3 linked regions of the Elephas maximus indicus genome follow. The protein of the gene in region 3 purifies or fractionates together with the protein of the main gene of each other region. This does not show direct contact. Links are inferred from orthologs where the notes say so. Each region holds a gene or a part of one and is shown on either strand. Other genes may lie near its edges.

What was found.
Region 1: the proteins of SIKE1 (region 3) and STRN4 purify together in Homo sapiens (affinity purification with mass spectrometry; 3 studies listed by BioGRID and IntAct, with this or other methods). This does not show direct contact. The link is inferred for Elephas maximus indicus from reciprocal best matches to the Homo sapiens genes SIKE1 and STRN4.
Region 2: the proteins of SIKE1 (region 3) and STK24 purify together in Homo sapiens (affinity purification with mass spectrometry; 4 studies listed by BioGRID and IntAct, with this or other methods). This does not show direct contact. The link is inferred for Elephas maximus indicus from reciprocal best matches to the Homo sapiens genes SIKE1 and STK24.

Annotation. Positions count from the first base shown.
Region 1 is NC_064829.1:102,266,705-102,270,451, reverse strand, and holds the start of STRN4 (striatin-4), read right to left. Parts: upstream 2,532-3,747; 5' UTR 2,397-2,531; coding exon 2,115-2,396; intron 2,026-2,114; exon of another isoform or gene 1,988-2,025; intron 1-1,987. Other genes in the region: ribitol 5-phosphate transferase FKRP, read left to right, coding at 3,727-3,747. UniProt on the Homo sapiens protein: Calmodulin-binding scaffolding protein which is the center of the striatin-interacting phosphatase and kinase (STRIPAK) complexes.
Region 2 is NC_064832.1:93,223,982-93,227,728, reverse strand, and holds the start of STK24 (serine/threonine-protein kinase 24), read left to right. Parts: upstream 1-1,187; 5' UTR 1,188-2,051; coding exon 2,052-2,129; intron 2,130-3,747. UniProt on the Homo sapiens protein: Serine/threonine-protein kinase that acts on both serine and threonine residues and promotes apoptosis in response to stress stimuli and caspase activation.
Region 3 is NC_064821.1:165,760,649-165,764,395, reverse strand, and holds the start of SIKE1 (suppressor of IKBKE 1), read right to left. Parts: upstream 2,961-3,747; 5' UTR 2,879-2,960; coding exon 2,720-2,878; intron 2,493-2,719; coding exon 2,387-2,492; intron 1,470-2,386; coding exon 1,327-1,469; intron 285-1,326; coding exon 171-284; intron 1-170.

The sequences.
Region 1 (3,747 bases), on a different chromosome or scaffold from region 3:
AGAGAGGTACGGAACATGGGTTCAAAGTCCAAAGGCCAGCTCTGCCGCTTACGGGCTGTGATCCTAGATAAATTATTTACCCTCTTCAAGTCTGTTTCCTCTTCTGATTTTTTTATGGGGGGAGGGGCTAAATATCACTCACTCTCCCAGACTATTGCAAGGATTAAATGATAGCGTGTATTTAAAGTACTTAATACACTGCCTAGCACATTATAAATGCTCAATAATTGGCAGCTGCTATCATTATCGAAGGAGCCCTGGTGGCACAGTGGTTAAGCACTCAGTATGAACCCACCAGCCACTCTGCAGGAGCAAGATGCAGCTGTCTGCTTCCGGAAAGATTACAGCCTTGGAAACCCCATGGGGCAAGTTCTACTCTGTCCTACAGGGTTGCTATGAGTCGGAATCAACTCTCCAGCAATGGGTTTGATTTTTTTGGTTTTATCATTATGAGGGTAATGACGATGGCCCTGCCTACCTCATGGGGTGTTGAGAGGATCCAATGGCATGTAAACTGGGAAAGAGCTTGAAGAGTACAGAAATGAACACAGAAGCGAGGGGCACTTACATAAGGATTCCTCCCCCAGCCCAGCCCCGAACCTCCGCTACCACACAGCTAAGATGCCCAGTGGGGTCGGAGAACTGTGGGATGTATTCAGATACCTTGAATTTGGAGGAGAGAGGCCTCTATTCACACTATAGATAAAATTTTTGTTATTTATTTATTTAAGTCTCCACCTCAGGTACATAGGAAACAGCAAATCAGCTGAGGAAAGACGGGCTGCTAGAAGCAGGTACTGACAACCTCTACCAATAATACCCCAGGCCAGGAACCCTCAGACACCTCATGCTGTCCCTGGACCCCTTCAGATTCTCACATCTCTGATCCCCAGGATCCACTAAAAAAAAATAAGCACTGTGCAAATGGACCCATGCTCCTCAAGGTCACAAAACCCAGCCCAACTCCCCGGCTGCTTCCACCCATCATCCCAGGGCACATCCCTCTTCCAAACTACTCCACAAACACATTTCCCCCAGGATCCTTCTGAGATGCCTCCTCCCCAGATGCCTCCTCACTGCCCCCATCCCAGGTCTCCTCCTTTCTACAGTATGCATGCCTGACACCCCACCTCTCCAGCTTAAGGTTCTCTATCTAACATCCTCCGCACGTCTCCCGTCTCACGGCCAGCCCCCTACTCCTCCACACCCCCAAACTGGAGTTTCCTTCTCAAGCTCTTCCACACAGGCTCCTAGGGGACATCCTCTGCCCTGTCCAAATCTCCATGCAAAGGATCCCTTCCCCAAACTGTGACCATACATGCCACAACTCGCCAAAGTTTTCTCCCTACAGGGGAGGGTACACACCTCCATCCTGGACCCGTCGGATCCGCCTCTAACTCCAGTCCTCACACAGACATCTTTTAGTGCTCCCGTCCAAACGCTCCCAAACATGCCCCATCCCAGGCTTCTGACACCCTCTCTATCATCCCGGTTCCCCGCTCGGACTCGTCCGCGCCCTCAGCGGGTCCCAAGTCCTCGTAGACATCCCCTCTCTCCCACCCGGAACCATCAGACTCCACCTCCATCCCTCGGTTGGTCGGGGAGGAGGTGGGAGTCCCTCGGTACCCCTTCGGCTGCCTGCAAGCTTTTGCTCACTTCCATGCGAAACCACTCGGATCTCTCTCAGACCCCTCAAACGCCTCTCACAGTCTTCCTGTGAGTTCCCTTAGGTTCCCCTCCCGCCCCAAGTCCCCTTCCCTGGGGAACCCCTCGGCCGGGCGGCTCACTCCCACTGCTGGCCGGGTCAGGTCTCCTCCCGCCCCTTTCTCTCTGCCGGTCCCAGTCGGTCCCTCCGGCCCCCGGGTCTCCCCTACACCCAGTTAGAGCCGGTCCCAGCCCCCAGATTCCCTCAGGATCCCCCTCAGACGTCCCCTCACTCCCTGTGCGAGCCGGCAGCGGTCCCCTCCCGCCCCCCCGGCTGTCCCGGCGGCCATTGCTCCAAGATGGCGGCGGCGGCGGCGGCGGGTGAGGCGAGGCCGGGCCGGGCCGGGCCGGGGGCCGGGGGCCGGGCGGGGGGCCGGGTGGGGGTGCCGGGGTCCCGGGGCGGCGCTCACCTGCAACTCGGCGCGTTCGGCCTCCCAGCGGGCCTTCTCAGCTTCGAAGCGCGCCCACTCATGCTGGATAAAGTGCAGGATCCCGGGCAAGCTCAGGGGCTCCGGCCCCGCTGTGGGCCCGGGGCTGCCTCCGCCGCCACCACCCTTACCTGCCGGGCCGGGCCCGGAGGCAGGGGCAGGGGCCGGGGCCGCCCCGCTCGGGCCAGGGCCCGCACCGGAGCCCAGCGGGCGGCAGGAGGAGGCGGCGGCGGCGACCGCAGCGGCCGCTCGCTCCTCCATCATGGAGGCCCCGGGGCCGGCCCGCGCGCCCGCTGTGCCTCGCGCGCCTGCGCGGCCGCGCCAACCTCTGCGCGCGCGCCCGGCGGGAGGTGGAGGGGCAGCAAACGAGAGCGAGGCCGGGCGCGCGCCTCGCCCACCGGGGTCGACCCCGAAAGCGCGCGCGGGGGTGGGCGGGAAGGGTGGGCGGGGCGCGAGGCTCCCCGTTCGGAGAAGCGAGTCTTTGGGAGGGGCCACTTTTTGCCCCCTCCTCTCGCGTCGCCCAATAGAGAGTGTCTTACCCTCTCCAGCCCCAAATACCACTCCCCTCGACAATCACTTTCGCTCTTTGAGAGAAAGGGTGACCACGGGGGGGTGGTTTCGGCCGTGGCACCTTCCTGATTTCCTGGCCCAGGGCGGTTGTCATGGTAACCCTTCCCCCCAGCCTAGGGCCCCCCCCCGCGCGTCTTTCCTCTCCCCCACCTTTGTGGCTATGGACCCCCACATACCTGGAGGAGGTGCTAAGGTAATCTTGGTCCTGATGGGCCTTCTGCCCCTAACGACCGACCTCGGTTACTATGGCATTCCTCCTCACCTAGCACCCAGGTAGAAGAGACCCCGAGCCCCAAGAAGACTAATGGCTGAGAAGCACCTTTTCCTTAACCCCCCACACCACCCAGTTGGAGTTGCCATGGTAACCATCACCCTCTTTTCCTTCGTGGGAGGCCCCTGGGCCAAACCAACCAGGTGTTTTTATTTAGAGGAAGAGATGCTCTGATGAGGAGTAGTTGTTATGGTTACAGGGCCTGGACCATCCCCAGGGAGGTGAGAAACAGGCAAAACCAAGCCCTGGTTGCTATGGTAGCAGGGTCAGTCCCCTTCCAGTGACCCTAGAACCAGGCCCCAGAACCCTACCAAGGTAGGGGACATTTTAGGATTGTCTTTTGAGTTGGAACATGTCTAGGGAAGGGGTTGTCATGGTAACAGCTTCTGTCACTTCTAGCCCCACCTTTCTGGACACATTCATGAGAGGGGAGGTTACAGATTGCTATGGTAACTGACATCCTTCCCACTCCACCCTCTCCCCCTCCTGAGACGCGCCAGGTGGTGCCTGAGCTTATGGGGCATCCAGAGAAAGGATTTCCCGATCCTCTTGTTGCCACTTTTGTAGATAAGATGAAACCGTGCTGTGTACTAAGGAGCCCTGGTGGTGCAGTGGTTAAGCACTCAGCTGCTAACCAAAAAGTCGGCAGCTCAAACCCACCAGTGGAGAAAGATGTGGCAGTCTGCTTCACTGAAGATTTACAGCCTTGGAAGCCCTAGGGTCATAGGGTCACTATGAGTTCAAATTGACGTGATGGCAGTGGGTTTGGTTTTT
Region 2 (3,747 bases), on a different chromosome or scaffold from region 3:
TATCAATTTCTGTATCAATTATCTATTTCCTATAACAAACCAACTGAAACCTAGTTATAACAACGATTAACTAGTTCTCACCATTCTGTGGATTGACTGGGCGGTTCTGCTGGCCTTTTCCGGGCTCCCTCATGTGGCTGCAATCAGCTAGTGGCTACAGTGAGCGTGTGGCTGCATGATTGAGGCTGGATGGTCTATGGTGACCTCATTCACATATCCGGGATCTGAAGTAGGATCAGTGAAGTGGCTGGGATGGGCCTCGCTCACTGCACGGTCTTTGATTCTGAGCTTTTTCACTGCCTGGTCGTCGCACGGTTGGAAGAAGGGAGTGTTGCAAGGCCTCTTGATGCCTTGGCTTGGCAGCCCCACATCATCACATCTGCCAGGTTCTACTGGTCAAAACAGGTAACAAGGCCAGCCAAGGTTCAAGAGATGGGGAAGTAGACTCTATTTCTTGACTTGGAGGGAGGAGTGCCAAAGCCATGGTGTAAAGAGGGTGTGGGCACTGGGAGGCATGGCAGTCTATCAGAGTTTCCAGTCAAGCACCTTTCCAGCATTGTAGGGGCTTGGATAAATTCTTGTTGGCTTCTTTTTCTTATTTAACTCTCAGAAAGGACATGCTACTTTTTTTCTTAATATGGGCAGGGGAATAGTCAGGTTGAAGTTGACCTAAAACAAGTCATTTTTTAGTGGCACATCGACTTGTCAAAGCTGTTTTGCTTCTCTTCACGTTTTGTCTAAGCAGCGGCTCTCAAAGTGTGATCCCTGGACCACCAGCATCTGCATCTCCTGGAAACTCTCTAATTCTTGGCCTCCACCCCACATTTACCAAATTCAGAAATTCTGGAAATGCCCCTCCCCAGATCTGTGTTCTAACAAGCCCTCCAGGTGACCCTGATGCAGACTGAGATTTGCGAACGACTGCTCCCAACTTAGCAAAGTCAGGCCCTCATCACCTGTTCCTTACCCTTGTTAGCCAGAGATGTTGTCATCCTTATGCCCCTTTTCCCAGGGCCTCCTGTCTCTCTGAATTAGGATATTCTCTGTAATACTAACCAGAATCTCATTTGTGTCACTGTAAACCTGGGGTTTCCTTATTGTTGAGGGAAAGTTTATTGACCATCAGTGACATGCCGTAGATACAGAGTTTAAAAAAGGGGATGGGTGAGAAGCAGGGAGAAGATGGCAGGGAGGGTCCAGTTCAACAGGTAAAATGGCAGATTCACTCTGTCCATGTTGACCTTGAGATGTCCAGGTAGAGAGAGACAATATCTAGTAATTGGTACTAGGAGTTAAAACTCAAAAGGCAGTGCTGGAGATAACAATTTGAAAGTTATCATTTACACAATAATTTTAAACAGTTTCTCTACTGAGATGGCTGTTCATGATGATCAATAGGAGCATTTTAAAAGGTGGATTGTGTGCTTTCCCCCATGTATGTCTGCAAGCGTGCTGGGATCTCTTTCTTTAAGTTTCCCAGGTGACTTTCACCAGGCAGGTTTGGGAAGCACGGCCCCCAGCCATGGGCCTGTGTATGACAACCCTGGGAAGGACAGGAGGCCAGGTGTAGAGTCTTGGGGACTGTCTGCGTGGAAGGTCTGGCAAGGGTAGAGTCTACAAGTGAAGATTTCTGTTAGAAGGACTAGGGAGGTTGGACAAAGACAGTGCAGAGCAGGGTTGCAGCTGCCAAGGGAGTGGAAAGTTCAGAGGAGTGTGTGGCTACTGAGTGTATAGCTTGCCACAGAGGAGATGCAGAAATGGCGTCATCGGTGCCCATGCGAAAGCTGATTCAGGGCTGTGATGAGGGCAGAGCCAGGCTGCAGTGGGCTGAGGAGTGAGTCCGGTGGTAGGTGGAGACTTGGCTGGTCCTGATGACTTTCAGGGGACCTCCTCTTGAACGGAACTACAGAGGAAGGAGTGAAGGAATGACCAGGGTCAAGGACTTTTTTTTTTTACTGAAGAAACTTGAGCACGTTGATATGACAAGGGCAAAGAGCCAGTAGAGTGGGATAAATTGAAGTTGGTGAAGCTGTATCCTGGAGGAGAGAAGGATGGATTCTAAAGCCCAGCTTTTAGGATTGGTCTTGAAAAAGAAGAGGGTCATCCTACCTCATCCTGGGAGGAAGGAGGTAAGGGAAAGATTGTAGCTGTGGAAAGTGAGCGTCAGCCACTCACTGCTGTATTTGTTTGTACTTAAATAAGGAAATGAATGTTTCTTCTGTCTCCCCACCCCCTAGAATCCTTTAATCCTTAGCAGTTTGTGTCGGAGATGACGGTGACAGTGGAGATTCAGTCTGGGCAGGTGTATGCAGGCTGAGTGGAATGGGACACACCCACCAAGGGTTCCTTGGGATTCAGTGGGAGTGGCCCCCAAAATTGCTTTGAAGGGTTCTTAATTTGGAGTACTTTATAAATTTGAAAACAGTAATTCTTATTTCTAATTGTATGAATAGAGGATATTTTAGGGGTTTCCACTAGCTTCAAAAACAATCCTCACTTAATAAAAACTACCCAGGGCTCCTGACTGCTTGTCAGTGATTATCTTGGTAAACCAAGGAATCAAGGTCAGTGTTTTGTAAAGTCTGGAATGCATATTCAGGCATCCTGGGTCCATTTGGTATATAAAAGACGTTAGAAACCCAACTCCATGATTGAAAACTGTTTAGAAATTGCTTAAGAAAAAAAAATGCATCTCAATATTAATAACCCGGTCGATGTATTTAGTGCAGTACTTCAAGTGGAAATGAAGGTGAACAGATAGTTTCATTTTCTGCAGATGAATGTTTGTTTCATTTTATGAGCTAAGGGAATCCTGGTTAAAAGTATGGTACTTGTAATTCCTGGCAGTTTTTTAAACCATACATTAAGGAGGCCAGCCCACTTCCAGAGCAGGCAGAACTCTAAATGACACCGTCTCTATCGTGTCCTTTTTTTCCTAGCAACCCCAGAGCGTACCTTGTTCATTTTTACTGACTTGGTTGCTGGGTTTTATGAGCTTTTACATTGCTCAGTGTGAAGCCTCACCATAGCGCTTGGACTCTACCTCACTTTGTGTTAACAAAGTCACCCTTGTATGACCGTGGTATGTTATTTTCACAGTGTATGTAGACTATGGAAACCCTGGTGGCATAGTGGTTAAGTGTTACGGCTGCTGACTGAAGGGTTGGCAGTTCAAATCTGCCAGGCGCTCCTTGGAAACTTTATGGGGCAGTTCTGCTGTGTCCTATAGGGTCGCTATGAGTCGGAATCAACTCCATGGCACTGGGTTTTGGTTTTTGGTTCACGTAGAGTATAGCACAGCAAGGCCTCCAAATTGGAAATGTGCTGTTTTTGACGAGTTCCTTCTCAGTCGGTTTGCTTGGAGCTCAGTGTGCTTCACCTTCGAAAGCAAGTTAGTGGTTAGCACCTGGTCAGCCCATAAAGCTCATTTAACTCGTTGTTGTTAGTTGTCAGCATGCTGCTGAGACTACCCTAATATTGTGTAGATGACCCACTTCAGTTTGCTGGTCTATGGGTATCTCATCTTCCCTTTATTCTTCCTTCTCTTTCTTGTCTTTCTTTTTCTCATTTTCAATCCTTTTTTCCCCCTTGTTTCTTTTTTCATAATATTTCAGTTTCTTTGAGTGATTAGTAGACTTCTGAGGGTTAGCCTGGAATCCTCTTCCTCATAGGGGATGTTTGTGAGAGAAGATGTATTTTGTAGGGTTGACAACTCCTTATCCTGTGGGGTTCTGTTGGCCCAGGTTA
Region 3 (3,747 bases):
TCACATTTCCTTTCTCAAAGAAGGTACAGTGGAAAAAAAAAAAAAAAAAATCCTGAGCACACATGAAACATGCATACATTGCAGTGACAGAACAGTAATAACATATATATCTTCCAGACTTCATGAAAACTCCGTGAAACATTGTAGACCTAAAATAGCAACAATCTTACCTCTAATTGGGCTAGTTTTTCCTGAACCTTACAATACTGGTCATCATCCACCTGAACTGCTTTCCTCATCACTTCTCCCATTTCACAGATTCTGTCAATTTGACTTTCAATTTCCTGTGACGGTATTAAGAAAGAAAAGGTGAAAAAGTAATCATTTCTACAGATATAAAGCTCATGAGAACATATGCATTATGATTTAAAAAGTTCATTTAATCCATGCTACAGAGGTTACAATGAAGCTTCACTACATAATCTGAGTCCTCAGGAGTAAAGCCGTAATAAAGTGGCCTTGTAATACTCAGAAATAATTTCTATTTTCAAAAAGCCAGTTCTAGTGTAACCACTGGATTTTGGACAATATCTCTAAGTGGCTGTTTAACTTAAGTTCTCCCGCTTTCATTGGGAGGAAGCTTATCACATTCCAGGGTGCCTTTTTCCATCTTTGGACATCTTAGAAAGTTCTCCTATATCATATAAATCGTTTCCTTCAAGGTTCAGTAAATTGGTAAAATTCATTTTCCTCCTCTAGATGAAAGCTTAAATGTAGCTATCCCTATTCCTTAAGACTTTTGTTAAGTCAATAAAGTCAACAGAATCTAAGATGAAATTGATCTCTCACTAAATTCCACCGTAGCAAACAGCGAGGTTCAATCTATTAACCCAGAATTAAGTGATATGGTACCTGTGAATGTACCATGACAACTGTGAAGCATCTTATAAATATAAGTACAATTATTGGGTCTCCCAAATTAAATCATAAGCAGCCTAAGTGTAGAAACTACGCTACACATACTTTTTAAACACCACTATTCTCTCCTAACAATAGAGCATGATGCTATGCAGTTCAGTTTGACACTTTCAACACTAACTGGCATTATGTTTGGTGCAAGTGCTTAGCATTCCTTAGCGTTCTGAAAAAAGATCTTGATGCGGTACAGGGAGAGGAGGGAACCGTGGGCCACTCAAATAAAAGGCACTGAGTAGCTCCTCATCCCCTTCTGATTATCTTTACAAAGCTAAAGCAAAATAAACAGCAATTGTGATAAACATGAAAGGAAACACAAGGTTATTTTTCTTGGAAATCAAACACAAAATCTAAAATAATTTCCAGATTTCAATTCAGTTAATTTAGAATTTACTTATCAGAGCTTCTTACTGCAGAATGAGACTGGTGAGCTTTCAGGACTGGTTCAGCATCCACTGCTTTTTTAGCGACCATCAACTGTAACATCTGTTTCCGGTACTTGCTCATGATGAGTTCTAAGGCATCCTGGTGTTCCTCCAAGGAAACCCATAGTTCTATCAAAAAATAAAATAACTTGGCAGCAATGTCTGAGAAACCACTCCCAAAACCAAACTCTTAACAGTTGGAATTTTACGACACTCCATAAGATACTGTGAGTCCAAAGTTGTAAATCAATGTTTAAATCCACAAAACTAAAGAGCTAAGGTTTATGTTAAAAATAACTTCCTAGGCAGAGACACCATAGTCTAGTAGAAACACCGTAGGGTATGAAATCAGAAGACACAGGTTTGAGTACAGTTCTGTGACTTACTAGCTTAATAAAAGTACTCCTGAGCAAATCATTTAACCTCTCTGGGTCTATTTCTCAGCTGCAATACTGTAATAATAAATACCAGGCTTGCCTATACCAAAATGAAGATACAAGAATACAATGTGAAGTAATATGTGAAAACCTTCTGTAAACTGATATGTAAGTGACTATTAAAAAAATTTTTTTTAATTAACACTACCATCATTAATAACGTAGTTAACATGTTTAAGAATATATATCCTGAGGATAGAACTGTTCCTGCACCTTATGCGATAAGAGTAAAAAAAAAAATTTAACTTTAATGTTTATTTCGATTACTATTTAAACATTAAATTCTAAGCCCTTTGAGAATATGAACTCCTTTGTTACGCAAGCCTCTATCCGGGGATATTTAAACACACCACGCAATAATTCAATTCTATTAAGCACCACTTTGATGAGCCGTCTATAAATGCTAAATCAGTCAGATGACCTTGAAAAAGATATTTAGCAATTACACCACACCATTATTGGTCTAGCAAGTGACACTCCTTTTAAAAGTATTTACCTGGGAATACGTATAGGATGTCCACGTTTGTGAACAGTTAAGGCAGTTCTGCAAGAATTTCTGAACTGCTACTGGAAAAAAAAAATCGTAACTACACAAAAAGCCTGACTAACCTCTGTTTTCCTGCTGCAAGTCTCTAATCTGCGTGTTCTCTTGGGACAGCAAAATGTGAGGCTTGTATTTAGACACGTCCTTCACATCGGATGCATCCTCTTGATACTGGACAAACAGAAAGACAGACTAAGCGCGCCGAAAACAGGGGCAGATACAACTGAAAAGGTAGGAGCCAGAGCTCCAGGCAGTATTCTCAGCCCCAACTCGGCAGACGCCTCACCGCCGCCCTCTAAGACCGGGAACAAATTCCAGGCCGAGTTCTCAGTTTACCTCGCAGTCCACACCTCAAGCGCCCAGAACCCGAGGGCACGGATCCCCCATCTCTGCCTGACCTGGTCCGGAAGCGCTGCCCCAGCCTCCCGCATAGCTGCCACCCGCCGGTGCAGTGCCGCCGACTGATCCACCAGCGACTCAGCGGCCGCATCGTGCTCCCGCAGCCTCTCCAGCAGAGTCTTGGCGTCTGTCAGGATCTTTTCGATGGTGCAGGTCATAGCGGATGCACGACCCCACCTGTCCGCACCGCTCACCTAAGCAAAGCGCCCAGATCTTCCTTGAACCCTTCTCAGCGTAACATACGTCACTTCCGGGAAAGTTGGCCAGGCGCCTCAGCCGCCGCGATCTATGCGCCTGCGCAATGACAGATACGTCCTCAGGTTGACCCGCTTTAACCTGCGCCTTCGCTTCAGCCCCGCCCACCGCAGAGCTGACGGCTTGCACTGGCCGGGTTCTTGTTTTCCTGTTCCTAAGCTTGATGGGTTTCTCTTTTTTCTACTGGCTTTTGGTTAATGTGGGTTTTTTACTCAGTCATCGTTTTACTCTAATTGCGTACTTTTTTGGTTTTAATTCAATTAATACATTGAAAATAAAATTAGTCAGAAAAACAACTTTTTTGTCATTTGTTATATCAGTTTATAAGAGTTTTGCTTGTCATGTTTGTACGTCAAACTTTGCTCTTTTTCATTCATTAATTTAATAAATATTTTTGGAGCGTCTTCTTTATTCCAGGCACTGTTTAGTCTCTGGGAACACAGCAGAGAATAAGACACAAGGTCTCTCAAAGAAAAACCCCGCGACCACATGTGTCACAGAATAGAGCTGTTCATAGGGTTTTCTTGGCTGTAATCTTTATGGAAGCAGATCACCAGTTCATCAAGCCTTTCTCCCATGGAGCTGCTGGGTGGATTTGAACCACTAACCTATAGGTTAGCAGCCAATGGCAAACTTCTTGTGCCACTCAGGCTCCCTTTCTCCCATTAGGGAGCTTATGTTCTAATGGGAGAAAGAATTTATACTCCAATGAATAATTTAAGGCAGTGAGAGAATTAGGAGCCTGGTGAAGGGGTGAGAGTGCCAGAGCCTT